Linked DNA regions of Sus scrofa. Each later gene encodes a partner of the first gene's protein in a complex. Links are inferred from orthologs where the notes say so. Each region holds a gene or a part of one and is shown on either strand. Other genes may lie near its edges. The genes, in order: ABCC9 and KCNJ8.

Evidence for each region.
Region 2: the proteins of ABCC9 (region 1) and KCNJ8 are in contact, whole or in part, in a cryo-EM structure (PDB 7MIT), measured with the Rattus norvegicus proteins. The link is inferred for Sus scrofa from reciprocal best matches to the Homo sapiens genes ABCC9 and KCNJ8. Residues at the interface, in XP_038963045.1 of Rattus norvegicus: Phe5, Ile10, Tyr13, Asn14, Ile15, Val19, Asn22, Cys24, Phe25, Ala28, Leu29, Val32, Val35, Phe36, Phe39, Phe42, Pro43, Ile44, Phe46, Ile47, Gly48, Trp49, Gly50, Ser51, Lys55, Gln57, Ile58, Asn129, Phe130, Lys132; in NP_058795.3 of Rattus norvegicus: Met1, Leu2, Lys5, Ile7, Ile8, Pro9, Glu11, Tyr12, Val13, Leu14, Ala15, Arg16, Ile17, Ala19, Glu20, Asn21, Leu22, Leu45, Ala46, His47, Lys48, Asn49, Gly54, Arg55, Phe56, Leu57, Asp59, Ile60, Thr62, Thr63.

The regions. Positions count from the first base shown.
Region 1 is NC_010447.5:51,552,381-51,567,709, reverse strand, and holds part of ABCC9 (ATP-binding cassette sub-family C member 9), read right to left. Parts: intron 12,939-15,329; coding exon 12,772-12,938; intron 11,723-12,771; coding exon 11,480-11,722; intron 9,287-11,479; coding exon 9,092-9,286; intron 6,705-9,091; coding exon 6,552-6,704; intron 6,051-6,551; coding exon 5,895-6,050; intron 4,359-5,894; coding exon 4,224-4,358; intron 2,423-4,223; coding exon 2,260-2,422; intron 1-2,259. UniProt on the Homo sapiens protein: Subunit of ATP-sensitive potassium channels (KATP). Can form cardiac and smooth muscle-type KATP channels with KCNJ11. KCNJ11 forms the channel pore while ABCC9 is required for activation and regulation.
Region 2 is NC_010447.5:51,690,407-51,706,319, reverse strand, and holds KCNJ8 (ATP-sensitive inward rectifier potassium channel 8), read right to left. Parts: upstream 10,394-15,913; 5' UTR 9,987-10,393; intron 9,063-9,986; 5' UTR 9,006-9,062; coding exon 8,632-9,005; intron 3,587-8,631; coding exon 2,686-3,586; 3' UTR 1,918-2,685; downstream 1-1,917. UniProt on the Homo sapiens protein: Inward rectifier potassium channels are characterized by a greater tendency to allow potassium to flow into the cell rather than out of it.

The DNA.
Region 1 (15,329 bases):
TCAATTAACTAATCAACCAACATTTGTAGCACTCCTTAATCTATTTTTGTTTTTCTTAAATGGCTGCATCTGTGGCGTATGGAAGTTCCCAGGCTAGGAGTCCAATTGGAGTTGCAGCTGCAGGCCTATGCCACAGCCACAGCAATGCCAGATCTGAGCTGCATCCATGGCCTACACTGAAGCTTGTGGCAACGCAGGATCCTTAACCCAGTGAACAAGGCCAGGGATGGAACTCGCATCCTCAAAGACTCTATGTCAGGTTCCTAACCTTCTGAGCCACAATGGGAACTCCTCCTTAATCTATTTTAATCTTTACTACAATCCTACCTGGTGGAGATTGTTATTATTTAATGTTACAGATAAAGAAATTGAGGCTTGGAGTATAGAAGCAGTAATTTGGTCAAAGCCACATGCTATGAAGTGGCAGAGCTGAGATTTAAAGTCAGCTCTATTCAACACACATAGCTGAAGCTCTTCACCACCACTAACACCATATGCAAGCAAATCACAAAACTTGGAAGTGCTACAAATGGAAATTTACACTATTGATTCAGGAACTCCTGCTGCCTATCGTCAATACATGATTATACATTTTCACATTCATGACTTCTTGTTTTTCTCTTCTGGTATGGCCTTCTCTGCCCTCTCTCCTTTTATCTCTGACTTTCAAAAACCAACCCAAATCTGGTAACAGGGTTAAGGTAAGCTGACCACCCACTCCTGCCATTTAGTAGCTGGGGGAAATTCAAGATGCTTAAATGCTCTCCACCTCAATTTTTTAATTTGTCTAATGAAGTTAGTAATAAAATTGAAATCATTGGAATGCTGTGAAGGCTATATAAGATGACAGGCAAAGTCACTTCTGGCAATAATTGACCGAGTCTCTCCATGTATTTTTGTTATTATTGTTATTATCATTGTCATTATTTCTGGCTGCATCCATCCTTCTCTTGAGAACTTCAGTCCACTGAAGAGAGGAAAGTACTGTAGGAGCTCCCAGCTTAGAGAACTATCACATAAGCAAGTGGATATCAATCATTCTGACACCATATTAGCAGTGGTGCAGAGCTGGAAGGTAAATCTTCTTCCCATTTCATTTTTAACACATTCAACATGAGAGCTAGAATAAATGAACTATATAAACCATGTATTTTCCTTAAATCCGTTTCAAAAAAGAAGTGTTCATAATCTCTAAGAACTAATGTAGCTTAGAATTCAAGAGGAAACAATATATAAACCTCCAAAACGTTAAACTGTTGAAAGTCTTGGGAACCACAGAAATGAGCAAAACTGACACACAAACCAAATCAAACATCAGTGGTAGCAGTATGGCTAGAGTTCGTAAGAACTGTACTAACATAAACTCATTATTTTTGAGAGCACTCAGTGTCACTCTTTGAGAGGAAAAAAAAAAAGATTTTGTAACAATTGCTTTTTAAAAATTTGAGTTGAGAAAGAAATGCATTGTATTTTAAAATTCTTGAAAAAGTATTAGAAAAGAGGGTTTTATGTGAATGAAGTTTGGTTTCTTTCACCTGGAAATGTTGCCTTTTTTTCTCCTCAGTTTTCAAAACCAATATTTCAAGTACAATTTTCGAGGAAACATCATAAACTCTCAAAAAGATAGGTAAGACAACTGCAGATAATTTTAAAGGATCTTTGGGGATAAAGTCAACAGTAATATAATCAAATCAATTTAAATAAACAAATTTTTGGAGTTTCTGCTGTGGCGCAGTGGGTTAAGAATCCAACTGCAGCAGCTCAGGTCTCCTCAGAGGTGCAAGTTTGATCCCCGATCCTTTATAGTGGGTTAAGGACCTGGCATTGCTGCAGCTGGACCCAGAACTTCCATATGACGGGTGCGGCCAAAAAAATACGATAAATAAATAAATACACTAAAAAAATATTTAATGAAAACCCATTCTCCATCACAATTGTAACTGCTAAGAGGATTTCAATGATCAGTATTTTAATCATCACCATCCCCATTTTACAGATGAAGAAACCAAGGATTTCAGAAGTCAAGTAACATGACAAAGACACACAACTTGTAAAGAGTAGAATTCAGGTATACTTGACTCTAAGTTTGTCCTAACTCGTCTTTAAATTTAAATAGCCTCATGTGGCTCATGGTTACTGGACAACACAAATGGAGAAAATAAATGGGCTTCCTCTGATGCCTGGAATGCCTCAATGATCACAACTGAAACTGATTAGACCACATGCTCTTTGGCGGTTGTCTGAGCAACAGTGACTTACTGGAGAGTGATGTGTAAAGAGCAAAGGTTTTGAGACTGGATAGTTCTTTCATTCTTGTTTCTTCCACACTCTTGCAAAAGATGTGCTCCCATGCGTACAACTTTAGAAGTTTGATGCCTTTCAATATTTCATTTGTTTTCTTCAGTCTCTCAGTGGAATAATCCTATAAAAGAAAGGAATAAAAAACAATGCAAGCTGTAGCCAAGTAAATCAGAGAGGCAAGACCATGTACTGAACAGGGATTGAGCAGAGCTTGATTTCTGCCTGCCTCTGCCACTAATGATGGTTGTGAGATTCCCAGGAGAAGTAGTTAAACTCTATGTTTCTGCCTCCGATGTGAAAATGAAGTGTTGAATGAGATGGCCTGAAATTCTTTCCACCTAAAAACTTTTTATGTCTCTGTTCTTTGGTTTAAATCAAAGCAGTGTCTTAAGTTTCACATGATCTGCTTGAATAATGTTTGCAGATACTACATACAGACATGTAGGGAAATGATAAAGAGGCTTCCAGTGACTCCTAGTATCTAAATCATTTCTTCCTCTCCTTAGCACTGTCACTCAAACTTAGGAGAAGAGAAACAATGCATTTAAGAAAAGTTAGTTTGCTTCTGATTTGGGAATATGAGGGACCAGTGTTGTGTGTGTTCATATTGAGTCCTCATTAGGCACTTATCAAAACCAAGTCTCTTATCTTTAACCTCAAGAGATTTCTACCTCCTTCTTCATAAGTCCTTGTGTAAGAAGACCTAAATTACATTCGCTGATTATCAACAACTTGGATTAACTGTAGAGAGATGCATACCAGATACAAAAGCCTCTCTTTGGACAACTGTTTCAGCTTCCTCCAAATATTACATTAGAATTACTAGGAAGGTACACCATGTCCTATGAATTCTCAAAAGGAGCTGCCGGGTGGCCAAAGGCAGAGGGAAGGAAGGAGAGGCAGCAAATGATCAAATTTTATTCATCTTTCTGTCTCTTGGAGTGTCTCAGCTGCCTACCAATGATTGTTGGTGAATGACTGCAGTATGAATAGTTAAATGAAAGTCAGATGTTGGATTCTCATGTCTCCTCTTTCTGTCCCTCTTCCACACCTTTCTGTAGCCATGTCCTAGAGGAAAGAGGGTAGGTGACTCAGACAGAAATAATGGCTAACCTTGCCAGAAGCAGAAGAAAAACAATGGGTAAAAACCAGTTGTGTGACCTGTGACTTGCCTGTCACAGTGGAAACACCAACTTGGGAACAGTCCACCAGTGGCAGCATCCCTAACATTTCACGCCTGATTTACAGGCAGCCTTGCTCATATTTAATCAAACTTTATTTCTAAACATGCTGTCAACAATTTTATTTTTGCAAATATTTCTTTAAAAGAAGCCAGTTCTTGCTCAAATAACATGATTTCATGACAAATTGAAGCCAGGGAGGGTCAATAATCGAGCTTTTTCTTGCTCGCCAAGTTGACCATGAACATACTCAGGCAGAGCAGCTGCCACTGAAACATTTCAGTGTAACTCCATAGCTCCTTACGTGGTCTGATTCAACCCTAAGGACATTTAATTTCAGAAGCACTGAATCTGACCCTTTATCTGTTCCTTGACCCATTTCTACCACATCAGTAACTGACATGCAATGTCTACATAATTGAATGCACATGTTTTTATTCGCTAGTACACATAAGTGTAAATAACTACAAGAAGATCTGAAGCTTCATCACATCATAACACATAAAAACATCAGGCATTGTGATTCTGGTATTTAGAAGTCAAGATCATTGCCTTCGATTTCAAACCCTCTTTGCAAAATTGCTGTACAACCCAGAAAATTCACATTTGCTGCTTAAGAACTGAAATAAGTAGAACGATTTCCAAATCATCCTGAATGGTACATGTTAATTTCCTATATATTCAAAAATAAAACAGCATCATTCAATTTTCCTAATAAAGTTTCCATAAGATATTACTTACAAGTGTGCTCTTTTGAGCCTCTGCCAACTTTGTAGCAATGAAGTATTGAATTGGTGCAAGGAGAACAATGACAGCGGCACCAACCAATGCACTGGATCCAAGCAAATTGTAGAGCAGAATCACTCCCATTATGATCTAGCAAGGAAAACACATGGAAATGGGTGTGGGGACCACTGCATGAAAGGAAGTATTTTTCAGTGAAATTGTAGTATTTCTTAATTATTGTAGTAAGTGTCTTTGAAAGTCAACTCAACCTCGACAGTTGGGTTTTACTAAGATTTATCTGGGGAGGGCTAAGTAGCAGGAATTTATTTTTAGTGTGATGACATGTACAGCTGATGTCAAACCAATTTACTGCACAAAGCTACAGGGGGGTTGCAGGACCTTCCAACCAAAAAGTCTTCAATTTTTTAAAACGACATGAATTTTTTCTTGAACATGTTGTCACCCACCATTGTTCCATATTCTCTTGGAGTTGTATTCGCTTTTCAAAGCAGGGAGGATGGAAAGTAAGAGGCAGCATCATCAAGGAAGAGAACAAGGATGGTTGTTTGTGGACTAAATGCTCTGAGCTCTTCACCTCCTCAATGACCCCACATAATGACGAGAAGGGTGGGGATAACTAAAACTGTGAAGAAGCTAAGGCTGATGCCCTCAAACCCAAGACTGAATGACTAAGGCCTACCCTCTCCAGGCTGTCACTCTCTTCTTCATTCTCTAAAAACTCAGGCTTTAACCCTACTATCTTCTCTCACTGAAATTTTCGTTTTCAAGTAGCTCAGCTTATCAAGGCTCAACTAATAAATTGTACCCATGCAGTTAAAGCCTTTAACCCATGCCTATATGCCCATGATAGCAGCTTACTAGTTACCTTCTGGAGGCACATTTTTAGTGCCTAACTTTGGGAATTCTAATCAAAATGAAAATCTCCTCCAGGTGACTCATCATGAGGGTACTCATTCAGAGAGAGCCTGGGATTTTTGATCCATTTTATTTTATTGTTTTATTTTATTTTATTTTATTTTATTTTATTTTATTTTATTTTATTTTATTTTATTTTATTTTATATTTTTTGTCTCTTTGCCTTTTTCTAGGGCCACTACTGTGGCACATGGAGGTTCCCAGGCTAGGGGTCTAATCGGAGCTGTAGCCTCTGGCCTACACCAGAGCCACAGCAACGTGGGATCCAAGCTGCGTCTTTGACTTACACCACAGCTCATGGCAACACCAGATCCTTAACCCACTAAGCAAGGCCAGGGATCAAACCTGCAACTTCATGGTTCTTGGTTGGATTCGTTAACCACTGAGCCACGACGGGAACTCCTGATACACTTTAAATTATACCATGTAGACAGCTACTTAGTTGACCTGTGTATAAATACATTTTGATAAAATGAAACAAAGCATACTTCAAATTTTACTTTGTACCAAGCACTGTGAATGATACACACTTTGATTTGATTTGGATTTCCCTTATGAAAAGAATGCATATATATATATATGTATGACTGGGTCATTTTGCTGTACAGCAGAAATTACACACCATTGTAAATCAACTGTGCTTTAATTTAAAAAAAATTAAATGAAAAAGCAAACAAGAAATTTAAAAACTTCGTTATCTTCTTGCTCTTATTTCCTTTGTGAATAAGAATCTTACTTATATTGACCTACCTGAACAGGCATAGCCCATAGATTGGGACACAGGAACAAGAACCACATGAGTTGATTGGTTTCAATGGCGACCAAGTTATTGATCTGACCCAGTGTCATCTCACCCATGGATAAATTAGATGTAGAAAGCCGAAGGATTTTATTGTATATCATGGCCTGTAAAAAAAAAAAAAAGATGTATTCGTGGCTTTAAACTTAATAATCAACATTATGCTTATTTATTCTCATTAAAAAAATAACATTTTAAAAATTTTTGAAAAAAAAGAAAGAAACCCTCTAATTCATCTTAAGTCAACCATTATTTTCATTTTAGTATTGTTATTTTAGTCTTCACCCAAATTAAAACTTACTTTTTCTGGCAATATAATAAAAACATATATTCAAATTTAAACATAATCTCTGGAACAAACAATAACAAAAATATGTGAATGCATGACTTCAAAATATTTTAACATATTATAAATGTTATTTTTAATTCAGTGGGTGTGTTAATTAGCTCTGTGGGGAGGGTAGTTATTAACTAGATCCTAGAAGTATTGTTATAATATCAAAATGAAAATAGAGGGAAAGAAACAAAACTAAAGTTTCTACTCTTCCTCTCACTGGCTGGTATGTGGCATTTTGAAGAAGCCAGGATCATTCAAAGCATGTACATACCAGCAGGGCTCCACGGAGGTTAATGCCAGTCTCTATGGTTACATAGTAGGAAGCCTGCAAAAACGTCCTTTGCAGGATAAGAGCCAAGAAGAGAAGAACTGCCAGAACATAAGAATTTTCAAGAAATTCCTTTGATGAGAGTTTTTCTGAAATCTTATCCCAAAAGAAAAGACATAAATTAAAATTTTTCATATACTGGTGTACAGTTTACATTTATTAAATGATACATGGTTGTTAAATCTAAAAACTCAGTGTCTTTATAAAACAGCAAGGCAATTTTGACTTTTACTTACAATGTCCACATATACAAATCAAACCAGTTCAATGTATAAAATCCTACACTGCTAATTAAGTTTTCTGGAAATGCTTGATTGTAGAAAATAAAAGAAAACTAAAAAAAAAACATTTCAATTTTTTTTTTGGAGTACTTGTTCAACAAAGACATATTCTACCTTAGTTAGCTGGAAAGTAGGCAATGAAAATGGAAGTTGGTTTAGACTGTAACTTACAAGTAGAAGCTACAAAACTGATAGTCCAAAGCAAGGCCAATAAAACCAAAATACAACATCCATAGCCTTATTGACTTAAAATAATTCTACACAGTGGACTTTTTCTGATTTTCACTTATATAATGAAATAATTGTATAAAATACATAATTTGGGTATCTATTTTGCCCACATGACACATCCAGTGACAAAACACAAACTTATGAAAAATGGTTTTAGTCTGATTATGATTGAAGTCATCATAAGATTATATAAAGTTGATTGCTTTTTGTTTGAAACAGCAGCATATGGTAACTTCTTTGATAGAAAACTGTGGCAAAAGCAACACTTGAATAAACACATCATGCCACTTTGGGTACTCTTTAGTTGTGTTTTAGATCCATTAATTTCTACTCTGGCCCCTTCTTCTTTCATGGGGATGCACACAAATGTTTAAGTTCTCTTCCTTCTCAGAAAAACATGGGGTTAATGTGTGGAAGGGGGAGGGATGATGGAATTCTATGTGGAATTTAGTTATCTACATGTAATTAGGCTGGTAAGGACAAAACCACCACAAACTGTATTCAGTGGTAAAATATATGGTTCACGTCAACAACAATTGAGCACCAATATATGCAAGGAACTTGGCTAAGCATTGTGAGCACAAATGTGAACTGTTCACAACCATTCTGTTTAAAGAGCTCACAACCTAGAAAGATAAGCATATCCATAAATAACATGTTTCATTATAAATAGCATTTATGTTAAGTGCCAACATGAAAACGATGTGATAGGAGAGTACAAAGGAGAGTCACATTCTAATGAGGACAATCAGAAAAAGCGTCACTGAGGAGGCAGCATTCATTGCAAGCTCTGCAAATTCATACAATTTTTTTTTCTGAAGTTAACTTTATTTTTTTAATTTGTAGTGATTTTTATTTTTTCCATTATAGTTGATTTACAGTGTTCTGTCAATTTTCTACTGTACAGCAAAGTGACCCAGTCTCACACACACACACCCACCCATTTATATATTCTTTTTTCTTGAATTATTCTCAATTTTAACAGGTAAAGAAAAGAGGACAGGAAACCAGATTGAGAGAATAGAAAAGGAAAATTGATTCACCTAGACTAGAGTTTCTATACATGAAACTAAGGAAATTAACTCATTTTAGAAAGAAACTGGGAAATAAATGATGCAGATTTTCTTAAGAATAGAAAAATAAGACTACAAATTGATAACAGCAAATCCCTTATACTATATAGCCTCTAACAGTAACATAATACCTAATAAAAATATGATGTGACTTGCTCTGATCATTGTGAAACAGACTGATAGCTTTTACTATACAACAAAAAGGATATGTGCATATTACAAATCACATTGCTAAAACGTCATTAGTCATAAGCCTAAGAAAAGTGACGCAGCCACCCTCATGTACTCATGCATGAAAATTCTTTACAGGATTGCTGTAAAGACCAAATAAAATAACGCGAAATTTTCAAACATCATTTCTGGCACACAGTAAATGCTTAGTAAATGTTCATAGCCTCTGAACCTGAGAAATAATTTTGTTGGTTGGATCCATTCAATGAATACATACCTATATAATTTTTTCTCTAAGGAAAACTACTGTTTTCCTTCTTTTAAAAAGCATTCACTTCTCATTGGGAATTAATACATACACACTACTAAATATAAAATAGATAACCAACAAAGGCCTGCTGTATAGCACGGGGAACTATATTCGATCTCTTGTAATAACCTATAATGGAAAATATTCTGAAAAAGAATAGATTTATATATGTATATATATATATATGAACATAAGTACATGTAATATATAATATATAGCTGAACCACTTTGCTGCATACCTGAAACCAACACAATGTAGCAAATCAACTGTACTTCAATTAAAACAAATTATGAAAAAATTCAATTCTCTATAAATAAGCCTATGCGAACTGCTCATCAAATGGTATTTTTAAAAAGTAAGAATTACAAAGAAATGTGCCAATAATATGTTTCCTTTCAAAAGCACCACAAACTTACTCCTGTTGCGTTATTTGTTCCATTCTGGGTTTCATTCACACGCTGAACGATTCCAGAAATACAGAGAGGCCCAGCAAAACCCAGTAAGTCGGCAAGATAACGAAATGTGCTACTAAGTAGAATCGGCCGTCCAAAAGCTGTGTACATTGCCAGCCATATAGATGGAGTCCGATTTGGATGATCTGCCACTTTTTTCTGAAAGAACAAAAAAAAACTTGATGAACCAAAATAAAATAATAGAGCAACAATTAATCTTACCAACTATAGAAATCTTTTCTTATATTTCAAAAGATTGAAAGTAAATGTTTCAATGCAGTACATATAGTTTAGTATCCTTACATTCTTTGCAAACAATAGCTACTGAATGTGTTTAAATTATTATTATAGTTGCTTTATAATGTTGTGCCAATTTCTGCTGTACAGCAAAATGACCCAGTTATATAATATATATACACATATATACATACATATATATACATTCTTTTTCTTATGTTATCTTCCATCATGTTCTATCCCAAGGGATTGGATGTGTTTTAATGAAACAGATTTAATGAAACAGATTGATTGAAACAGGCCAATTTTTCAAACATTTTGTATTATTTTTAGTTGTCAAAGGATGACCCCAAATTCTAAGAACCAAATTAATTTTAATTCCCTTTGATTTAGAAAATAAATAAATCTTTCATGAATATTACCAAATAACACTGTACGGAAAATGGTAAAATACAACAGTCCAGATTATTGACAGTCTATTTATGATGACTGAAGTTACTAGATCACAGGATATCAAATCACTATAAGCTAAAAAAAGAATATCCCAACTTCAAATTTTTTCTTCTCCAGGTATTTCCCATCTCCATAAATGGGAGTGGGATGAGGTGGGGGTGGTGATGTCAATATGTCATAAAGTTATATTAGACTTAACGTATCCTCGTTATTCCTTAAAGTGCAAAACAAAAATGGCATATTTGTTTAAGCCAACTCCTGACTTCGTACTTCTATAATCATTTGTTCAAAAGATTTTAAGGCCTGAACAATCATAATTACATCTTGGAGAGGAAGTGGATAAAGCTTTTTCACTGTTACAAAGAAGCTAACTCAATGCGTTAGAGTTCAATTGTGTTTAATATTCAACTTCCTGTGAGATGAATAATTTGATAATTTTTTAAAGTTTATTGATAAAAGACATTAACACCCCAACTTCAAGCAAATTTGTGTTATAAAGAGCACTCAGGAAACTTAAGCTAGGCTTAGGCTATATCGTTAATCTTTACTTTAGAAAATGAGCTTTAAATATTATGCAATACTTTTCCCAGAGGTGAAACCAGAGACATGACTCAGGTTCATTTGTAGTAACCATTTCCTGCAATATTAATTTCAAAACACATTTTTGACACAAAACAGAGGTCATTTTCATCATTTACCATAAATGCTTTGTTGATCTTGATTTAGAACAGCCAAAAACTCTCTGATTCACCATACCCTATTCCCTTCCAATGTCACTGTGAATACTCGTATTTTTAATTACAATAATATTTGTAGATTATGGCAATATAAAATACATTGTCCACTGCAGGTAGCATACATGACTACTCAGAATGATAACAAGATAAACTGAAAATATTCAGAGTCTCCTGTTTAAAATTTTAGAAGCAATGAAAAATACTCAAAGAAAGTACCAGAAGAAACCAATTTTGGCAGACATGTAGGATGATACATGGAGTAGGCAGGTGAGTCCCCTCTAATTTAGTTCCCCAACTTTGAAATATAGAGTCCAAAATTTAGTTAATCATCTATTTAAGGACTTTTGCTTCTCAAAATTAACTTTTCATGGATATGATCTATTTTCCTTTCAAATAACAAAATTATTGGCAAGATACTTGAAAAAAGACAAAAATTCCATGAATTATTAATATTGCTTAATAACAAGGATTAGACATACATGATTACTGAATTTAATTCTTACTTTCCACTAGAGCTCAGAGAAAAGACAGAGCTCCCTCCAACCCTCTTCGTCTCATGCGGGGCAACTAACCCAGCATTTTCACTGGCTCTTCTGGCATATTCTCAGCAGCCCAGTTAACAAGACTCAAAGCTACTGGGGGAGTTCCCACTGTAGCTCAGCAGTAGCGAATCTGACTAGCATCCATGAGGACTTGCATTTGATCCCTGGCCTCCCAGTGGGCTATAAGGATCCAGTGGGCTATAAGGATCCAGCATTCTCATGAGCTGTGGTATAGGTCAAAGACACAGCTCAGATCCCGTGTTGCTGTGGCTGTCACGTAGGCTGGAGGCTGCAGCTCTGATTCAACCCCTAGCCTGGAAACTTCCATATGCCTCAGGTGCAGCCCTAAAAACAAACAAAACAAAAACCTGATACTAAATTACCTTTTGTTCTTCATAGGCATCTTTCAGACAAACATAATTTGTTACCGCCCTCATGGCTATTGGTAATTTTCCAATGGCCTTCAGATCAATAGGCTTCTTATGAGCAGATATAATGAGCGTGTTCATCCACCAGTACGTTGCTTTTGACAGTAAATTCACAAACGGCTGGAGAAATCTCACTCCCAGATCCTGGAGGTCTTCAGGAGGCTTTACTTTCTGAGGATTCATGAAGAACACATATCTCTGTGGTAAGAAAAATTCCAAAGAATAACAGTTAACCTCCTTCTTTTTCCACAGATTAAAAATAAAATGTTCACCTTTTTTATATTTTCATTTCAGTAGGCTGAAATTTATATGTTCATATTTTTTTTCCATCCCTTTCTGAACTATTCTTTGGAGGGAAAAAAAAAATCCCTTTTGTCGTGACTATATTCTAGTTAAATTCCAGATTTTCATTTAATACACTTGAGCCAATACTAAAAAATCAATTATCCCTTTAAACCACATTTCTCCCTAAGAATCAATCTTTCTGGATATACTTTCGTGATACTTCATGATATTTAGTAATAGATTCAGCTACATGAAGATTTTTACATTATGTAGATGGTTTAAATGTGTTATCAAAGCATTATTGAGTCACTCCCTGTTAATTTGTGGTCTGGCTGATGTTCACTATTTTCCATTACCCACTGAAGCATGTATCTTGCCATTCAGAGCAAAGTCAAAGTGCTCAGACAGAAAAATGAACATTGAAAAATCAGACACTAGCATGTCACATAATAAAACTGACAAGGCTATGTGGCGGGAAGTGCAATAGGTCTGTAATCACAGACCAGGTATGAAACTTGACCATGTTACTTTGGCTATAAAGCTAAAGTTATGTCTACAGAAGTTTTTTAATCAATGAAATGAGTACACTGGATGAGATGATCTTCTTCTCAGATTGAAATTTCTGAGAATACACTAGTTTGATTAAACCAAATTTGCTTTGGACCAATCACAGATGATGGAACTTCCTGGTGAGAACAATTTCATCTATAATAGGGACTAAGCATAATGATGGCACATCACAGGCACCCAATCAATATTTACGAATAAATAAATAGATTCTAGGTTTACATTGAGACTTCTGGAATATTAATGGTCTGAAACTGAGTAATTAGTTCAACTTTATACACATAGATAATATATAATTGTTTATCCTCTTAAATACTAATGATTTCTAGCTGACTATGATCTTTAATATTTGGGTTTTGAATTCCAGTAACAAGCAAAAATCATTAGATACCTACTCTGACCCTAATGACATTGATCTCCACAGCCATCAGAAGTCCATTCAAAATGACCATCATGCCGGTGATACAGAATCGCAGGTCTGACACTCCCCAACCAGACTGCCAGTATTTGACCAACTTTATGGTTTTTGTGATAAAGGCCATTACCCAATACAGGAATAAGGCTGGAAAAATAAAAAGTAAAAAGAAAAAATACAATCTTTCACAGATACTTTTAATAAAAGTCACTGAAGTTTCAATATGAATACAATGCTTTTTAACAACAAAGACAATTTAAGATATTCTATTTCCAGATTATGTTATTTGTTTATAAAACAACATATATGCTTTAGTGTACTTTTGGACTTCTGAATTGAAGGTATAGTAATGACTTGAAAATATTAGTGCTTCCGCTCTAACTATGTGGGCTAGACGTGAAGATAAAAGGGGACATGTAAATAAGGATAGGCTATACTTTTCAGAACTTATGTATAATTCTACAACCTTTAAAATTGACTTTATCTTTTGGTCCTGTGTTTTTAAGAGGCCGTGATTATGTGATGAATTCACACATTGGTATCTGTAATCAAGACAGAATGGTGATAGCATAAAAATCCATGAATGGATCAAAGGAATGGAAAATACAGAGCCAAGAAATAGATTGTACTAAAAAAGTCATTCACTTTAATTTGTTACAAAGGTCCCAAAGCAATACAATGAGAAATGGAGCATCTATTCCACAAATGGTGCTGAAACATACAAATATGCATTTGGGAAAAAAAAAAGGACTTTGACGCCAGCCTTATAAAGCATACAAACAACTAATTGTAAATGGATAAAGTCCTAAAAACAAAAACTGTAACTATAAACCTTTAAAAACCAGGAGAATATGAGGGAAACTTATTTCGACAGAAGGCAAAGATTTCTTATGCACAGAGAGCAATAACTATACATGAAAAAGTAAATTATGCTACATCAAAATTAAAATCTTCTGCTCATCAAAAGACATTGTTAAGTAAGTGAGTATGAAAGCCACAGACTGGAAGGGAAATATTCTCAAAACATGTATCTGATGAAATACTAGTTTTGAGTATGTACAAAATATTCCTACAACTCAATAACAAAAATGCTATCCAATAAAAAGTGGGCAAGAGATATGAATAGTCACTTCACAAAGATAAAAAATAGCCAATATTCATCAAAAAGTGCTCAACATCATTAGTCATCAGGGAAATGCAAATCAAAACCATAATGTGTTATCAGTGCACACTCACCAACATGGCTAAATTAGAATATCAAGATCCTCAAATGAATGTGAAACAACAGGAATTCCTACACCCTGTTAGTTAGAATGTACAATAAACCACTCTGAGAAAAGATCTGGTGGTTTCTTCCAAATATACACATTTATGTACCTGTCCTCATTCCACGCCTAGGGATTTACCCAAGAGAAATAAAACATGTATCCTCATAAAAACTTGCACATGAGTGTTTATAGCAGCTTTTTTCGTTCATGATGGCCAAAACCTGGAAACAGTCCAGGGGTCTTTTGACAAGAGAATGGAAAAACTGTGCTATATTTATACAGTGGAGTATGACCCAACAATCATAAGAACAAAATATGGATTGATACCACATAATGGAGAAGTCCCCAAAAATCATGCTGAGAGAAAGGAGTCTTCCAGAGAAGAGTTTACACCATGCAATTCAATTTACTGACATTCTAGAAGAAGCACATCTAATCTATGGTGGGAAAAAAAAATCAGATTAGATGTGCCTCCACAGAGATGGAAATGAAGACTGACTGGTAAGGGGCACAAGAAAACTGTCATGGATGATGGTGATGTTCTAGATAGTGATACGGTTATACTGGTGTATGCATTTAGTAGATTAGATTTCTGTACTTTGGATGTAAATTTTATCCCACAAAAAGAACAAATATTTAATTTTAGTTAATGATAAGCATGCTGAAATAATCAGAGAGTGATGCATATCAACTCCTGCAACTTACGTTAAAATGCATCAAAAATAAGATGGATTTATGGAAGAACAGAGGAATGGAAAGATGTAGGTATGTGATAAAATAAATAGAATAAAACGTAAACCGAAGAATTGAGGTGGTAGATACTTGAGTGTACTTATGATTTTTTTAACTTTCTGTGTGCTTGGTGCTGTTTATCATATACTGTTGGAACAAAATTACTAGTTCTGTGATTTAAAATAAGTGTGGTTCTTCAAGGTCCAAATATTTCTCTCCTAAAACAAGGAGACCATTAGACTAGCTTTTAACTCTGTTCTTCCAGAAATATAATTAAATTGTTCCCTCTGCCTTGTGCCTACATAAAAGTTTAGAGGCTGATTCTGATTGCATTTCCTTCAAAATATTATGAAAAAGCATACTTCCTTTCTAACTACATTGCATAATTCTTATGCCATCATCAGTTCTTCAAAAACTTAATGTCTAGCGAATCAAATGTCCAATATTATATACATTTTTACTGTTGCCTTTTTTGGCATCTACTTAAAAAGATTTCCTTGATAATATCTGCTTATTTTATATCAAACAACTTTCTTTT
Region 2 (15,913 bases), about 140 kb from region 1:
TAACAAAAACAGGTTCTGAAATCATTGTAATCTTCTAAAAACATTTGTAGATTTTTATAAATTGATGTGACCTTTTGGGTGATGTGGCTGTCACTAGTTAAATGATGTCCCTGACTGAGGCATGACTTGATATAGGAGGCCTATCGATCTCTTCCATTGACTACCCCATGAAATTGATGGCCATCAGGTCCTTGGCACCCAGCCTTTGGTTGCAGCTGAAAGGTGGCTGGGGGAACCGCTCTGGCTCCCTTGCCAGATTTGCCCCTGGCTGCCAGGGCTCTCTGTATCACATGGAACCAGAAATCCTGCATCTCAGCCCTGATATATCTTAATTGTTACCTGGCCCGCAGCCCATGTTACCTTCACAAACATTGAGCGGCTACTGCACTGAATAGCAGCCAAGCATTGTCTGTACATGTTCTTAATGCAGGGGTTGCAGCTGCCTTCTGGGTCTGTTCAGCTGCTCTGGGGTGGGAGTCGGGGGGCACACAGAACTGCAGGAGGTCTGATATTCACCTCTGTAATCACTGGCAGGCTAAGTCTTATTAAGACAGATTGTTCTTTAGCAAACTATAAAGAAATGTTTCAATATTCTAACACTTGGTACACTGCATGCATATATACTGGGTGATGAGTACCCAGATTGGACTGAAGGAGGCCACAGTGATATAGAGAAGCGGCCATAGTCTGGATGAGGCTTTGCTAATGGATGGCATATGAGATATAAAAGAGAGGAGTAAATGGGAGTTCCGGTTGTGGCTCAGTGGTTAACAAACTCAACTAGTATCCATGAGGACGTAGGTTCGATCCCTGGGCTTGCTCAGTGCATTAAGGATCCTGCGTTGCCTCAAGCTGTGGTGTGGGTCACAGATACAGCCAGATCTGGCATTGCTGTGGCTGTGGTGTAGGCTGGCAGTTCCGTTCCAATTCAACCTCTAGCCTGGGAACCTCCATATGCCGTGGGGGTGGCCCATAAAAGACAAAAGGCAAAAAAAAAAAAAAAAAAGAGAGAGAGAGGAGTCAGGTATGACCCTGGTTTTGGCCTGAGTGACAGGAAGAAAGGCTGGAGTGGGGGGGGGGAAGGAGGGGTGGGAGAAGGGGCAGATTTTGCCAGTAGGAATGAAGCGTTTGCTTTTAGACATGATAACGTTTAAATGTGTATTAGGTATCCATGTGGAACATCAAGTACTTGTTTGATACACAAATCTGGAGTTCAAAGGTGTGGTTAAAATTTTTTAGAAATCATTAACTCAGTAACCTGTGAAATGTTCCTTAATCTGGTTAGAAACATGAGTGTTTTGTTTTAAGACAGCTTTTGAATATAATCATGATTTCCTATGCGGATATTGAAGTAAAATAAAGACAGACCCCAAAAGCTGTATACAAGAGTACCTGAGAGCTCAGCTTTCTGATGTTTAACTATGTGAACTATAAGAATAAACCTGCTGGTTATTAACTCTTTACTTGCCACTGTGCCCTCATCTCTTCTTGAAGAGACAGGAACTAAGGATGATTAGATCAAGCATTGACAGAAAATCTCACTTTAGCAATTGAGATAATGCTGTATTTCTATATGATAGGTCTGAATTCCAATATTACTGAGAAGGAAGTGTAGTTTTAAAATGGGAGGTGGGAGATCCAAAAAAAAAAGTTTATAGGATTTCCATGATATATTAAGCTCAACTAGAAAAGACAAGAGAACTTTCTAAAACTTGGAATAAAATGAAAATCTTAAAATGTAGCTCCCTTGGAACAACAGATCTCAAAGAGAGGGCCCCTCAGAGAGATCTCAGAGGCGAGTGTCATCACTCCGTGATATCTCTTTTACACCCCTCTAAAAATGTCTATTTCTTGAGCTTTAACTAGGGCTTTAATCTTGAGCTTTAATTTCGTGAAAGGGAAATGGCAAAACTAAAGTGAATACAAAAATTTCATTTTAATGAAATATTCAATACAGTGGAGGCTCTTCAGAAGAAGTCAGAAGCCAAAAGAAGTAGCTGTCACTTTGGAGAATCCAGTCCTGAATGAGACAGGAATGTTCTTAGCTCTTCTCCAAAGCTCCTTGGCCGGTTCTGCCAACAGGTGGCCAAGAAACCCTTGGAGGTCACTGTGAGGAACAAGCGAATGAACAGAATCCACTCAGAAATAGATTAGAATTAAGACGTTTCAATTTTTGCTTCAGGCTTCTTACCCTGTGTAGTTTTTTGTTTGTTTGTTTGTTTGTTTTAAGGACAAAATAGGAAAAAAAACCACGATTTTGGGTCCCATGATCCCTTCTATCACATTTCTAGAGTGGACAACAACAGAAACAGAGAGATCTGTGGTGTCGCCCACTGAGCATTTCAAGCAGAATCATTCCTTGGCCAGCTTTTCTAGCCAAGGTCTATATTACTCTGCATGTAATGTAATTCTTGTGTTTCAAATGGAGAGACACAAGGGTATTTCCTACTTAAGCCCATCACTGCCAACTCTGCATGGATGAAACAAGTGTGAGCCATGAACTCTCCACTTTGTGTTACTGTTTATTGACACTGAAAGCACTGCTGTTGGAATATGAGTATCATTTAGTGCATGAAGATCTAGAAAGACAAATGATTGTGTTCCAGCCCTGGGGCAGTCTGTCTGTGCCCTGCATAAATCCTTCAACATCTCATAAAAGACTTTTGTGGGGGGGTTGTCTTGCTGTCAGGATTCTGACGTGTTCTGATTTCCTTCTGGGGTCATAAACTGCACCTTGGGCACCATGAGGGAGGAGTTGTTCCGGCGGATGGAGTTGTTCCTCCTCATGGAATTGTTTCTTCTCATGGAGTTGCGCTTCCTCAGAGAGTTCTGGTGGGACAGTTCACTCTTCTGGAGGGTCTGAATAAGGATGGAAGGCTTCTCGTCCAGCTCTCTGGCACTGCACCTCGGGGCAGCTACCTTCACTGTGTTGCCAAATTTAGAGTAATCCACAGAATACACCCCTTCCTCCTCCGTGACGATGGACACAAAGCGATGGCCCCATCGGATCTCCTCGGCGATGTAGGAGGTTCTCGCTTGTGTGGTAATGCCCGTCGTTTCTACCACTCCCTCCAGGATCACAATAACCTCCAGGTCTTGGTTGGCAAGGTCGGTGGCTGAGATGTCATACAAGGGGCTGCGCTTGTCAATCACGTGGCAGATGATCAAAGGGGCCACCAGAAAAATGTTATTACTCTCAAGCGGGTTATCAACAGGAATGTCCAGCTGGTGAATAGGCACCACCTCCCCTTCGGGTGTTGTGGTTTTCTTGACTACCTGGATGCGCACAGAGGCACTGATGATCATGCTTTTCCTTAAGTCGCCCACACGGAACATGAAACACAGCTTGCCATTTCGGACGGCGATGACAGCATGGCGACTGAAAATCAAGGTTTCTGCCCTTCTGTGAGCCTGGGCTGTTTTCATGAAAATGCAGCCCAACATGACCGCATTGATGATCAAACCCACAATGTTCTGGAGAATCAGGACTGTGATGGCCAGCGGGCATTCCTCTGTCATCATTCTCCCTCCAAAGCCAATTGTCACTTGAACTTCAATAGAGAAGAGGAAAGCAGAGGTGAAAGACCTGTAAGAAATGAGGTCAGAACACAATGCCATCAGATCAGGTTTTCCATCATGAAATAACATGCTGAATTTTTTGTTTTCTTCTTCCAAAGGCTATTTAAAGAAAAATGTACTTTGTATTGAAGTATAGTTGATTTACAATGTTGTGTTGGTTTCAGGTATACAGCAGAGTGATTCAGTTTTTATATATGTATATATAATGGATAAGCAATGAGGTCCTGATGTATGTAGCACAGGGAACTACATTCAATCACTTGTGATAGGACATGATAGGAGATAATATGGGGAAAATAATGTATATATATATATATGTATGTCTGGGTCACTTTGCTACACAGCAGAAATTTAGAGAACACTGTAAATCAACTATACTTTAATAAAACAAAACCGAAAAGATATTCAGCTTAGTTCCCTGTGCTATACAGTAGGTCCTTCTTGCTTATCTACTTTATATATAGTAGTGTGTATATGTTTATCCCAAACTTCTAATTTATCTCCCCTCCCTTTCCCCTTTGGTAACCATACATTTGTTTTCTATGTCTGTGAGTCTATTTCTGTTTTGTAAATAAGTTCATTTGTACTTTTTTTTTAGATTCCACATATAAGGGATATCAGATGATATTTGTCTTCATGTGACTTGCTTCACTTAGAATGATAATATCTAGGTTCATCCATGTTGCTGCAAATGACATTATTTCATTCTCATTTATGGCTGAGTAATACTCCATTGTGTGTGTGTGTGTGTGTGTATATACACACACACACACACATATATATTGTATATACACACATACATACAACATATGTATACATAGACATACATGTAGATATCTGCATCTACCACATCTTTTTTTTAAAGATGATTTTTATTTTTCCATTATAGTTGGTTTACAGTGTTCTGTCAATTTCCACTGTACAGCAAAGTGACCCAGTCACACATATATATACATTCTTTTTCTCACATTATCTTCTATCATGTTCCATCATAAGCAACTAGTTCCCTGTGCTATACAGCAGGATCTCATTGCTCATCCACTCCAAACGCAATAGTTTTCATCTCTTAACCCCAGACTCCCAGTCTACCCCACTCCCACCACAAGTCTGTTCTCCAAGTTCATGAGTTTCTTTTCCATACCACGTCTTCTTTATCCATCAATTATTTATGTCCAAAGGCTATTTATTGCTTTTGGAAATACTTAGCCAAAGTAACATATCAAATGCCTGACTCCAAACACAAACACTTATACATTTTCTCTCTCTCCCTCTGCATGTATCTTACTTCCAGGCTTCTCTGATACACTACTATCAATGCTTCAAACCATGAAATGATGGACCTATTCATGTGAAAGCATTAAAATAATAAATAGACACATTCATATTAATAGGCTTATTTTACTTTGTGAAATACTTCACTTTCATGAAGGCATAGTTTACTTTGTGAAACGTTCTTCCAGGTCGATAACCATTATTTATTGCCTATGTGTGTTCAAGTGACCTGAGTCATATGGAACATACTGAGTAATAAGAGAACTTTTTATTATTTATAACCTTTCAAATCATATTCATTAGTGAACAGTGATTGCATACCTTACATAGAGAGAGTGTTATATTTTTAAAAAAAGAATGTGGTGCCATTTGAAAGGAACTCTGTTTTCTCATTGTCTCATTTTGTTATCTAGAGAATACTGAAGCTATTAAAGGAAAGATTTGAGGTAGAGATTAGTAACTGACTGTGTCAAGATCATATAATTAATAATAACTTGAATCCTCTCAATTCTGGCCTAGTTACTGAAAGAGGCACAGGGAGGGGCTAACAAACGTTAGGGTTTTTCTTGGGAAGCCTTTTCAAACTGTGCTTCTCTTCCTGATCTCAATGTAAACACTGGTTTGGTAGTTTCAGGGTGGACCTGGGCTAAGACTTTTGAAAAGCTTGCAGAAGACTCTGACTTATCTCCGTGGTTGAGAAGCACCACAATTGGTTATTCTTAACTTATTCACGTAACTACATATCCTACACTGTTCTGGCTTCTTAATAGAAACAGTCTCAGTCTTTGTTTGCCCCCAATCCTAATTTCGGACTTTTCTAATTTTATAGAAGACTGGCCATCTGTTAAAAGTATTAGCTGTCTATTAACTCCACACACACAAAGAGTGAGAAAATGTTTAAATATTTGAGTATTGAGTCTATACACTACACTTTGGTGGGACTGAGTGGTAAGCACACACAGATGATTTTCTTTCTATTCAGTCTCATAATCATGGATTTTTATTTTTTAAAATTGAAGTATATTGATGTCACAGATGATTCCTTTAATTAACTTTTAAATGGAGTGTGAAAATTGCATCTTTTACCCCTTTTGTTGCTAAAAAATTCATGGAAACTACAATAATTGCTTTCTGCACTAGCTACACACTAGATATATCATATGGTCCAAAAACATGGCAAAGAATAAGAACATACCCCAGAAAAGGGACACAAACACAACACTGATTTCTAATAACATATACTTGCTTTAGGGAACAGTGTAATGATGAATATGCTCAGAGGTTTCATTTTCATGGCTTAAGAGACTATTCACGTGCCATATTTTGTATGTTGTTTATTTTAGGAAAGAACTTACTTCCAAACATTACATGGTGCAAGACCCAGCCTTTTATGGACACCTGTTGTGCAAAACAGTCTCAAGAGATGAAAGTGTTTAGCTGCTCATTTGTTCTGCTACAGAAAGAAGGAGCTGGACTGAATGGTAAGAGGAAGTAGCTTGGTTTATTTCCTAACTCATGTTAGAAAGGCATCCACATGAAAGGAAAAGTGAACCAGCCTAGAAGGAGAATGGCAAATGTTAGTTGGACATACTGGAGAGTATTACAATGGGTTGTTTTCAGTTTTGGTGATAAGGGAGGACATTGAACTTATGAAAGGAAAGGAAATGCAAAGAATTACACATATTATTGTTCACCTTTTAAATCCCCTTTGGGAGAAAATAGAAAATTTTCTGTTTCTATTTTTTTTGGGGGGGCTTATGTATTATGTTCAGTTTGTTATGATTAATCTCTATGTTGCTCTGAAGTGTAAGTAGTACCATATCATATAAAATAAAACCAGTAAGATTTTCACCATAAAAGATGTCAAATAGTATATTTTTTTAGGCAAGAAGTGCAACTTAAAACGCTAAAATTGTCATGCTGATAAAATCGACTTTGTCTCATTATATTGGCGACACTTTCTCACAGTGAACTGAGTAATCACACAAGCAGGAATCCATCAGAATGAACATCCCACAGAACACATCTTATGGAAAAATAAAAGCTAGTAGTAAAATAGCTTTCAATAACCAGTGCGCTCTATCAAGTTTATAAAAATAAAACCATTGAATAGATACCACTTTTGATGATATGTCTCTAATAAACTGCTTAATACCTTATTTTCCACAGGAAAAGCCCACATTTTGGTCTTGTGAATAACAGCTGTCATTTATTTTTCCAGGTTTACCTTTTGTTTCTCTCATCTTTTTATGAGTATCTACTCCATGTTCATTAAAAACGTATTTTGATAGGAAAAAGATTCACAAATATGAGTGCCAATAAATTTCTTAAAGAGAAATATTATAAGGATATTTGACCTACAAATACTGTTAAATACAGTATTTTAGTTGTTTCCTTTATTTGGTGTACTAATGACCACCTATAGTATATTTTCTTTGAGACAAGTTTAAGACAAGAAAATAATATCTAATGGTAAAGCCAATGGATCAATTCAATATAGTTTCCTCTCAAAATCTGAGCTGAAATCTGTAACATGATCTCTGTGCACAAATACTGTATCCCCTCTCCCCCGCCCCCTAGATATGCTGGCATCTCAGCTACTCAGGGAATGGAAGGATGGATAGTTTACAGTCTGGGTTTCTGCCGCTTGCAGTGGTATGATAATTTCATGAGATTTCAGGGTCAGTAAAGGTCTCGTTCTTTACAGTTTCCTGACAAAATTAGTGCTTGTTCAAGTTGCTTTACTATATGCATTATGTAAATTGTAATATTATTCAAAAAGTATCCTGGAAAAGCTTCTAGTATTATTATGTTTCACTTCAAGTAAATATTTTTGCATTTTATATAATTATCTCTTTTGATTTTCCAGCAAAATAATTAAGACATATCGCCCCAAGTCAATGTTCTTAAGCCATGTGAAAATATGAGAAGAGAATCACTGAAATAAAATTCACTTTTCTTATCTTTGAATATTTATGACATAGAGAAAAAAAAGCAAAATTAGGGCAGTCTAAGAAATGTCTTCCTGTCCTACTAAAACTTTTAAAGAAAACCACAACATTAAGTCACTTCTCCATAGTCTATTCCATGAAAAATTTGGAGCAATTTCCATTAAATTATTTTTTTCTAGTTCTGAATGTTAGCATAACTTTTAATTTTGGAATTCAATGCAAGCAACCAGCTATTTAAGATAATCTTGAAAAAGAAGGGCTTATATTTATTTGTTTAATTTCTAGTGTAATTTTTTTTGCTAGGACATCTCTCCACCAGTGTCTTCCCGTTTTCCTCATGATTTCTGAAAATGTCACAAGTAAGAGAAGTCGTGGAAAAACATTACTAGCATTTGTACAATATTTTTGGTTGATCGGAGGTATTTCCTTGTGGATACTGGAACTATGGACAGCAGCTTTTTCATGCTGAAAACTGAACGTGCATTTTTTTTTTTTTTTTTTTGAGAAGGACACTTTGTGGAATCTTGTGAACCACAACCATTTTTAAATAGCCGGTATAATATTTTAATATTTTCAAGGCCAGCCTGAGTGTTGAAACTCTGTATTTTCAAAGTCTCCTTGTCCATCAAGCTGCATCTAAAAAGATCTTAAAAAGACTAATGCGTTAGGTTATTTTCTTGTTTTTGTTTTGTTTTACTTTTTTTGTTTGTTTCTGAAGGTACTAAAACAAACTTGGGCCACTTAAAACAAAACAGCAGAGTGAAGAAAAGGCAGTTCAGTATTTTTTTCTGTACTGTTTCCATCCCTGCCTCATCCACTGCCTTCTTACCTGACATTCGTCACACACACAGTGGACTCCAAACCGCTCTTCTCTGTCCCGCCTTTCTCCATGTAAGCATAGATGTCCCCATGGGCAAAGGCCACCAGCCACCACATGATGGCGAAGAGCAGCCAGCTGCAGAGGAACGACATGGTAAAGATGACCAGCGTGTGGCGCCATTTCAGGTCCACCAAGGTGGTGAAGATGTCCTGGAGGAACCGTCCTTGCTCCCGGATGTTCTTGTGCGCCAGGTTGCAGGCCCCGCTCTTGGCGATGAAGCGGGCCTTGGGGAGGCGGTCCCGGATGCGCGGTTTGCGCAGGTTCTCTGCCGCGATGCGCGCCAGCACATACTCCTCCGGGATGATGCTCTTTCTGGCCAACATCGTCCCGTCACCATAGCCAGCCTATACACCTGTCTCTGACCTGCCTCTCCTTCTCTCCTGCAGGAGGGAAACGAAGATTAAAAAACTTTTCTCCCCATTTCCTCACCGCTTCAGTCCTTGCATTAAGGGGTGCGTCTATACATTCGAGGTGACGTGCAAAGCTAAATGCATGATCTTACTCATCGAGTCTAGATAACGCTTAAGTTCTGGGATCCCGGAGAAATTAATTGGTATGAATCTGAACTGTTTTAATATTCCTTATCGCTTAGAACACATAAGGGCATAGCCTTAATTAAACAAAACCAGGAGCCGTCCTGTAAACAGCAGGCTCAATGATAATTCTAAGGTTACCCACGTCTGTTGATTAGTGCAAGGATACAAACGCGCAGCGTCTATGAGAAATATTAAGGCCAGCTGGGTATCAGGATCTGATCTATTTACTAAAGTATTCACATGATATAGCAATACTGAAAGTAAAGAGGGGTAATTCTTTTTCCAATATTTTTAGAAATAGGCAGAGCAAAAGGCCGTGGCCTCCTGAGCAGTATAAATAACACGTTTCGTGTAATTCGACAAAATAATAAGTTATGTGCTATGTAACTTGAAAATCACGAAAAAGTATTTCAGACAAGAAAGAAGTGTGAGTTGCATTTAAGAAAGAAAGAAAGGAAGAAAGAAAGGAAGAAAGAGAGAGAGAAAGAAAGAAAGAAAGAAAGAAAGAAAGAAAGAAAGAAAGAGGAAAAGAAAAAAGAATTCTCCACTGGAACTCTATAACTTGAAAACTTTACGACGAAGGGATCAAACATACAAGCTGCAGGAAAAACCCGGATAGCCTTCGGGCTGCGGATAGAGTTAATTAAAGAATGTGCCCCGAAAAATCCATCCGACGCTTAAACCTCTCCCGTGTTTTGCATTTTAAATCATTTGTGGGGGCGCGGACAGCACCCCCCTCCCCTACCCTGGAGGAGCGTTGAAACTTACAGACTCTGGACAGCTGGCGCGGCGGCCGCACCTCTCCGCACACGCCTCGCGGGCAGGTCCCTCGATGTCCCATCTCGGCGCGCGGGAGCAGGGGCCGCGACTGCCGGAGGGACAGTTCCGGGGACCGCGTGTCCTAGGGAGAAGAGTTAAAATAATAAAAGGTGCAAGTGAATCTGAACGCGGGGAGGGCTGGAGGAAGGGGGATGGGTATAGCTCTTCCCCTCCCCCTGCTCGGTTCTATTCCCCGGCCACTGCCGGTGGCGGAGGAGGGGCTGGGGGAGAGGAGCTGGGGGTGATGCTCCACAAGTCAGCCTCCCAGTTCGGTCTTTGACGCGCCCCAGACCTCTGAGGCCTCCGAAATTGCCCAGATGGGGGCGGGAGGGATTGGCTGGGAAGGCGAGTACTGGGAGGTAGGGAGCCAGCCAGGAGGAGGGGCGACGGAGGGAGGGCGGGGCCTGTAGGACCAGCTCCTTTTCCCAGTAGCTGAGACCCCCTGCCGCCCGCGTGACATGCACGTCTTTAAAAGGCTCCCTGCTCAGGGGAACGAACTTTCTGAGTTCACTGACGTAAAGAGATTTTTTTTTTTTTTTAAACCTGGGTAGATAACTGTGCTACTTAAGATTGAATAAAACCAGATATAGAGACCAGAAAATAGTCTCTGAGACGTCCAGACTGTGCGCACACATACTTATTTACATTAAATTCCTGTCTAGTAGGGGTGATACAAGTGAAAGATGTTCTGAAAACCAAAACCCCTACGTATATTTCTTCATCAACCGAAGCTAGTTCTCAGGGACCAAAAAAAGAAAAAGAAAGAAAGAAAAAACACTCAAAGTTTCTTCCAATAAAATTTTTTTTACCCTAAACAGGACTGCTGTCAACACTTTAGAACTCAAACCGTTGTTCTTCAGTAATTGGTTGCTTTCTGAAATGTTGCAGCTTCTCCATCTTGTCTAGATGGCCTGAATGATAAAACAGAGCAATTGCGCACAAGAAAGCTTATACAGTAAATATCTTTCTATAACATTTTGAAAAGGAGCCAGCAAAGACAAATGTGCTTACTCCCACAGGTCAAGCCTCCTGATTTGGCTCTTGTGTTAATGGAAACTTTAATTCTTGGAAATTTCATGTATTTTCCAAGACTCAGGGCAGAAAGTGTATGGAGCATAAACAATGTGTTCATTTAATTACTAAGAGACCTAAAATTAGTCTTTAATGAAGGCAAATGAAGAACCATTTTTTCCCTTTGTGGATAGATCTGCTTAACCCCTTCAAGCCTGAGATCCTAGTCAGATAGTGGTAGCTGTTCCCTCTACTGTCGTGAATTTTTGAACTTTTACAGTAATTTATGTAGTTGTTTTACCACAAGTGTGTGGGGATCAAATTGTACAGTTAATCCCCTCGTTATTCTGCTTTACAATTGTTTGGTGTACAGTTTATTCCCTGTTATTTTAGCTGGGGGAAACATTTGTTGAACACTTCATAAGGGAAGGAATATACATATATACGTGTGTGTGTATATATCACAGTTGCTGTTCTTAAGAGGTAGACAATTGTAGTATGAGACATGACTTTGATAATAAACTCTAGTACAAGCACTGATGTGATTAAAATAAGAACAGAAATATAACTAAAGTGCCCTGGAAATTCAAATAAGAGATATTAAGACGAGAAAACTAAGGAAAGAAAGCATTGTGGATTTTTTGGCATCTGATCTAGTCTTTGAAAGACCAATGTATTTGCATTTGCAGAAAAGCTGAGGAAAGACATTTCACTGAGAAGAAAGGTCATGAACAAAGTGACCAAGAATTGACAAGAGTGGGCCATGTTTTAGTAACAAACCAATATAATCTTCATTGATGAAGCAAGGTAAGCAAAATAACAGGATTGGATGCTTGAGGCTGGTGCTCTCTGGGCAGCCTCTGTTGCCACCACTCTGAACACACAATAGGTTATTCATGTAAGTGTCCCATCTCCTGCTCTGCTCACAGCCCATGAAACTGGGGCTGCTAGAGGACAGGGCTGTGACTTGTTTATCCTTGTATCTTAAGCTTCTAGCACAGCTTAAATCACAGAGCGGCTCAAAGAATACTTTTCAATTGTTGAATGGGAAACATAATATTGAAAACCATGTTGGTGCTTAAAAAAATACATAGACAGTCTTAAATACTCAAAAAAGGAGTCTGGACAGTCTTCAGGGGGTGGCGGTAAGTCACGGAAGGATTTTTTATTAGAGAATACTGTAAGTGCCTGCTTTAGCAGAATCAATCAGGAAAAAGACGCCCAGATGACTTTGATGGTTACAATGCTAAGCAGAGTCCCTTTAGGTGCCACAATTCTGTGATTGGCAGAAGGGAACACTGGAAACTATTGTGTTAGTTAGAGAAGAATTAGGTCTGGGGCTAATAAGCAATGTCAGTGGACAATATAAAATATGTGCAAAAGGAAGGCTATAGAGTCAATATTGGGAAAAGTAAAGTCACAGATGACTCTGACATTTATTGTGATGACAGAAAAATAGTAAGAAAATTGAATGAGAAGAGGTGAACTGTTGAGGAGTATTATGAGAAGATTTACAACAAATAAACCCATGTCTGAATCCTATGAAAATTCTGGTCTTTCACTATAATACATATTTAGGATTCATTTTTTTCCCAAGATATATTCTTCTAAATATGCAATTTTAAATCAAGTGTTGACTTGTTCTGAAATGACAAACTCTGTACCCTACCTAAGTCAAAATAAGGGCACTAAGAATGCACATAATCAAGGTTAATTTTAAGACATTAATCAGTCAATTTTTGTCGATAATAAATCTAAAAACAAATAGCAGCCTTTCAAAGAAAGGTGGGGAGTGTATGCTGTAAAAATATTATAGACTTTCTTTTTTCTTTCCTCTTTCCATTCCCTTCCTGACATCTAAAAAAAAAACTCATTCCTTTCACTGCTTTTTCTGCACTGAGTGGAAGCTGCATGAGGGCAGTAGTTTGTTGTCAGCTACCACAGACCTAGTGTCTTGGAATTGTTGCTACCTCTTAGAAGTAGGTACTCAACAAGTATTTGTCAAAAGAAGGAAAGAAGGAACAGTGCTCTCAGCACAGTGTTTCTCTCTTTCTTGCACTTAGTCTGACTCTCCTCTCTTCTCCTTTTATGTATTTGTAATAATTTCTCACAGTTCTCATGGGTAATCTGAAGCTTAGAAATCTCCTTGGAGTTGAGGGCCATATCTGTCTACAGATTTCCTTACTCATCACCTCTCCCTTCTGCCTTTACCTTTTCATTCTCCTCCCTTCAAACCATCCACTCCTTCCTTCCTCAGCAACTCTCCTAACCATTCCAGATCCCCAATACTTAAACTTATTTAGATATTAAACTTGTTTAAACTTGGCTTTTGCTGCCTATGTTTCTCTTGACAACTATTTAGCCTAATGAAGACATATCTGTATCCCCAAAGGTCCTTCTGGATACACAGTAGCTGCTCAATAAATATTTATTATTGACTGATTTCTAGTTTCTCCTTCTTCAGTTCTTCTCATATCATGGTCCAAATAATGAACATATAAATTTACCTCTGAAAAGTTTATGAAGGAAATCAACGTTTCAAGATCACATTGACTACTTCAGGCTTATCTATGGTCTATTTATTTAATCACTATTTTGCTATCCTCCATTTAAGGTTTTTTTTTTTTAATTTAGGTATAGTTGATTCAAGATATTGTATCAGTTTTAGGTGTATAGCAAAGTGTTCAGATATATATGTATATTTATTCTTTTCATTATTCTTTTCCATTGTGATTTATTACAGGTATTGAATATAGTTGCCTGTGCTTGTTGTGTGTGTGTGTATATATATATAGCATATATATAGAACAGTTAAGAAAACTTTATAATATACTTTATATATATACTGTTCTATAATTTCATAATTGTTCTTTTATAAATGAGGACTAATTTGTGCTTTACTCCTAGAGGAGACCTATAATAGGTTTAGAACAGAACTAAATTTAAATCTTATGATATTCTCAACTATTCAGGAATCCTGTAAGAATCTGCTCATGTTACATACCATGAAATTTATGCAATAATTGGGAAGTAATTCAAGGATATCTATTAACTTATAAGTAAACATCTCCTAAATGCCTTTTAGACCCTGTGAGCATTTTAGTTGTGGATAAAGAAGTTTCTGCAACTCTCTTTCTCTTAAGAAACAAAGTTTGTCAGGTGCCTTCAAATAAGTGGAGGAAGGTTGATTGATGCTTTTTCCATTTATCTACTGCTTTGATTATCAGATAAAAATCAGTGAAGTCTTTGGAAGGACTCTTGAGATAAGGGGTGAAAGAAATCCTTGCATTTGATGACCTCGCCTTTGACTTGATTTGTGAATTTGGAACTCTTGCTTTTCCTGAGCCATAATAGACTTAAGAATTTGGAGAGTCTTCAAAATGACAATGGAAACGATTCATGTTAGCAGCCCAAATAACAGTTGGTCTATTTGCTTGGTATGCTGCATTATTAGTGTCCTCATATAAACCACTTTGGAACATATTGCTTTGGAATCAGCTTAATAAACTCTTACATAAACTAGTAATCAAAACAGCATGTTACAAACTCACTTTTTTGGAGTTATCATGAAATGGAAATGACAATATAACTCTTCGTACTTATCTGTTCCAAAGTGTTCAGAGAACAGTTCTTTTTGAGATATGTATCAAATTCTGTGCGAAAGAGCTTCACTTGCCTTTAAATTAGGTCACGATTTTTCTTCAGCAATATCCATTAGAACCAGCAATGAAAAAAATCTCCATCCAGCTTGCATGTTCAACTCTTTAAACATCTACCAGTTCACAGGTGTGAATCTGTGAGTCAGGAAGGGAGCATTCATAACAATTGCTAATTAATTTTTTTTTCAATATACTAAACTTTAAAAGTTTAAAAAAATTTTATTATAGTTGATTTAAATTGTTCTTTCAATTTCTGCTGTACAGCAAAGTGACCCAGTCATACACACTTTCTTTCTCATATTATCTTTCATCATGTTCCAGCATAAATGATTGGACATAGTTCCCTGTGCTATACAGTAGGACCTCATTGTCTCTCCATTCTCAATGTAACAGTTTGTGTCTATTAACTCTGAACTCCCAGTCCATCCCATTCCCTCCTCCTCCCTCTCCCCCTCGGCAATCACAAGTCTGCTGTCCATGTCTGTGAGTCTGTTTCTGTTCTGTAGATAGGTTTTGTGTCATATTTTAGATTCCATATTTGTGATATCTTATGGTATCTATCTTTCTCTTTCTGACTTCCTTCACTTAATATGAGAATGTCTAGTTCCTACATGTTGCTGCAAATGGCATTATCTTGTTCTTTATTATGGCTGAGTGGTATTCCATTGTGTATATGTACCACGTCTTCTTAATCCATTCATCTGTTGATGGACATTAGTAGTTTACACATTTTGACTGTTGTGAACAGTGCTGCAATGAACATAGGGGTGCAGGTGTCTTTTTGAATGAAAGTTTTGTCTGGATATATGACCAGGATTGGGATTGCTGGATCATATGGTAGTTTGTTTGTTCTTTCTTTCTTCTTCTTTTTTTTTTTTTTTTTTGGTCTTTTTTGGGCTGTACTCTCAGCATACGGAAGTTCCCAGGCTAGGGGTTGAATTGGAGCTGTAGCTTCCAGCCTACACCACAGCCACAGCCACAGCAACGCCAGATCCAATCCGCATTTGTGAACTACACCACAGCTCATGGTAACAACAGATACTTAACCCACTAAGCAAGGCCAGGGATCGAACCTGCATCCTCATGGATACTAGTCCGTTTCGTTACCGCTGAGCCACAACAGGAACTCCTCATATGGTAGTTCTATATATTTAGTTTTCTGAGGAACCTCCATGCTGTTTTCCATAGTGGTTGTACTAATGTACA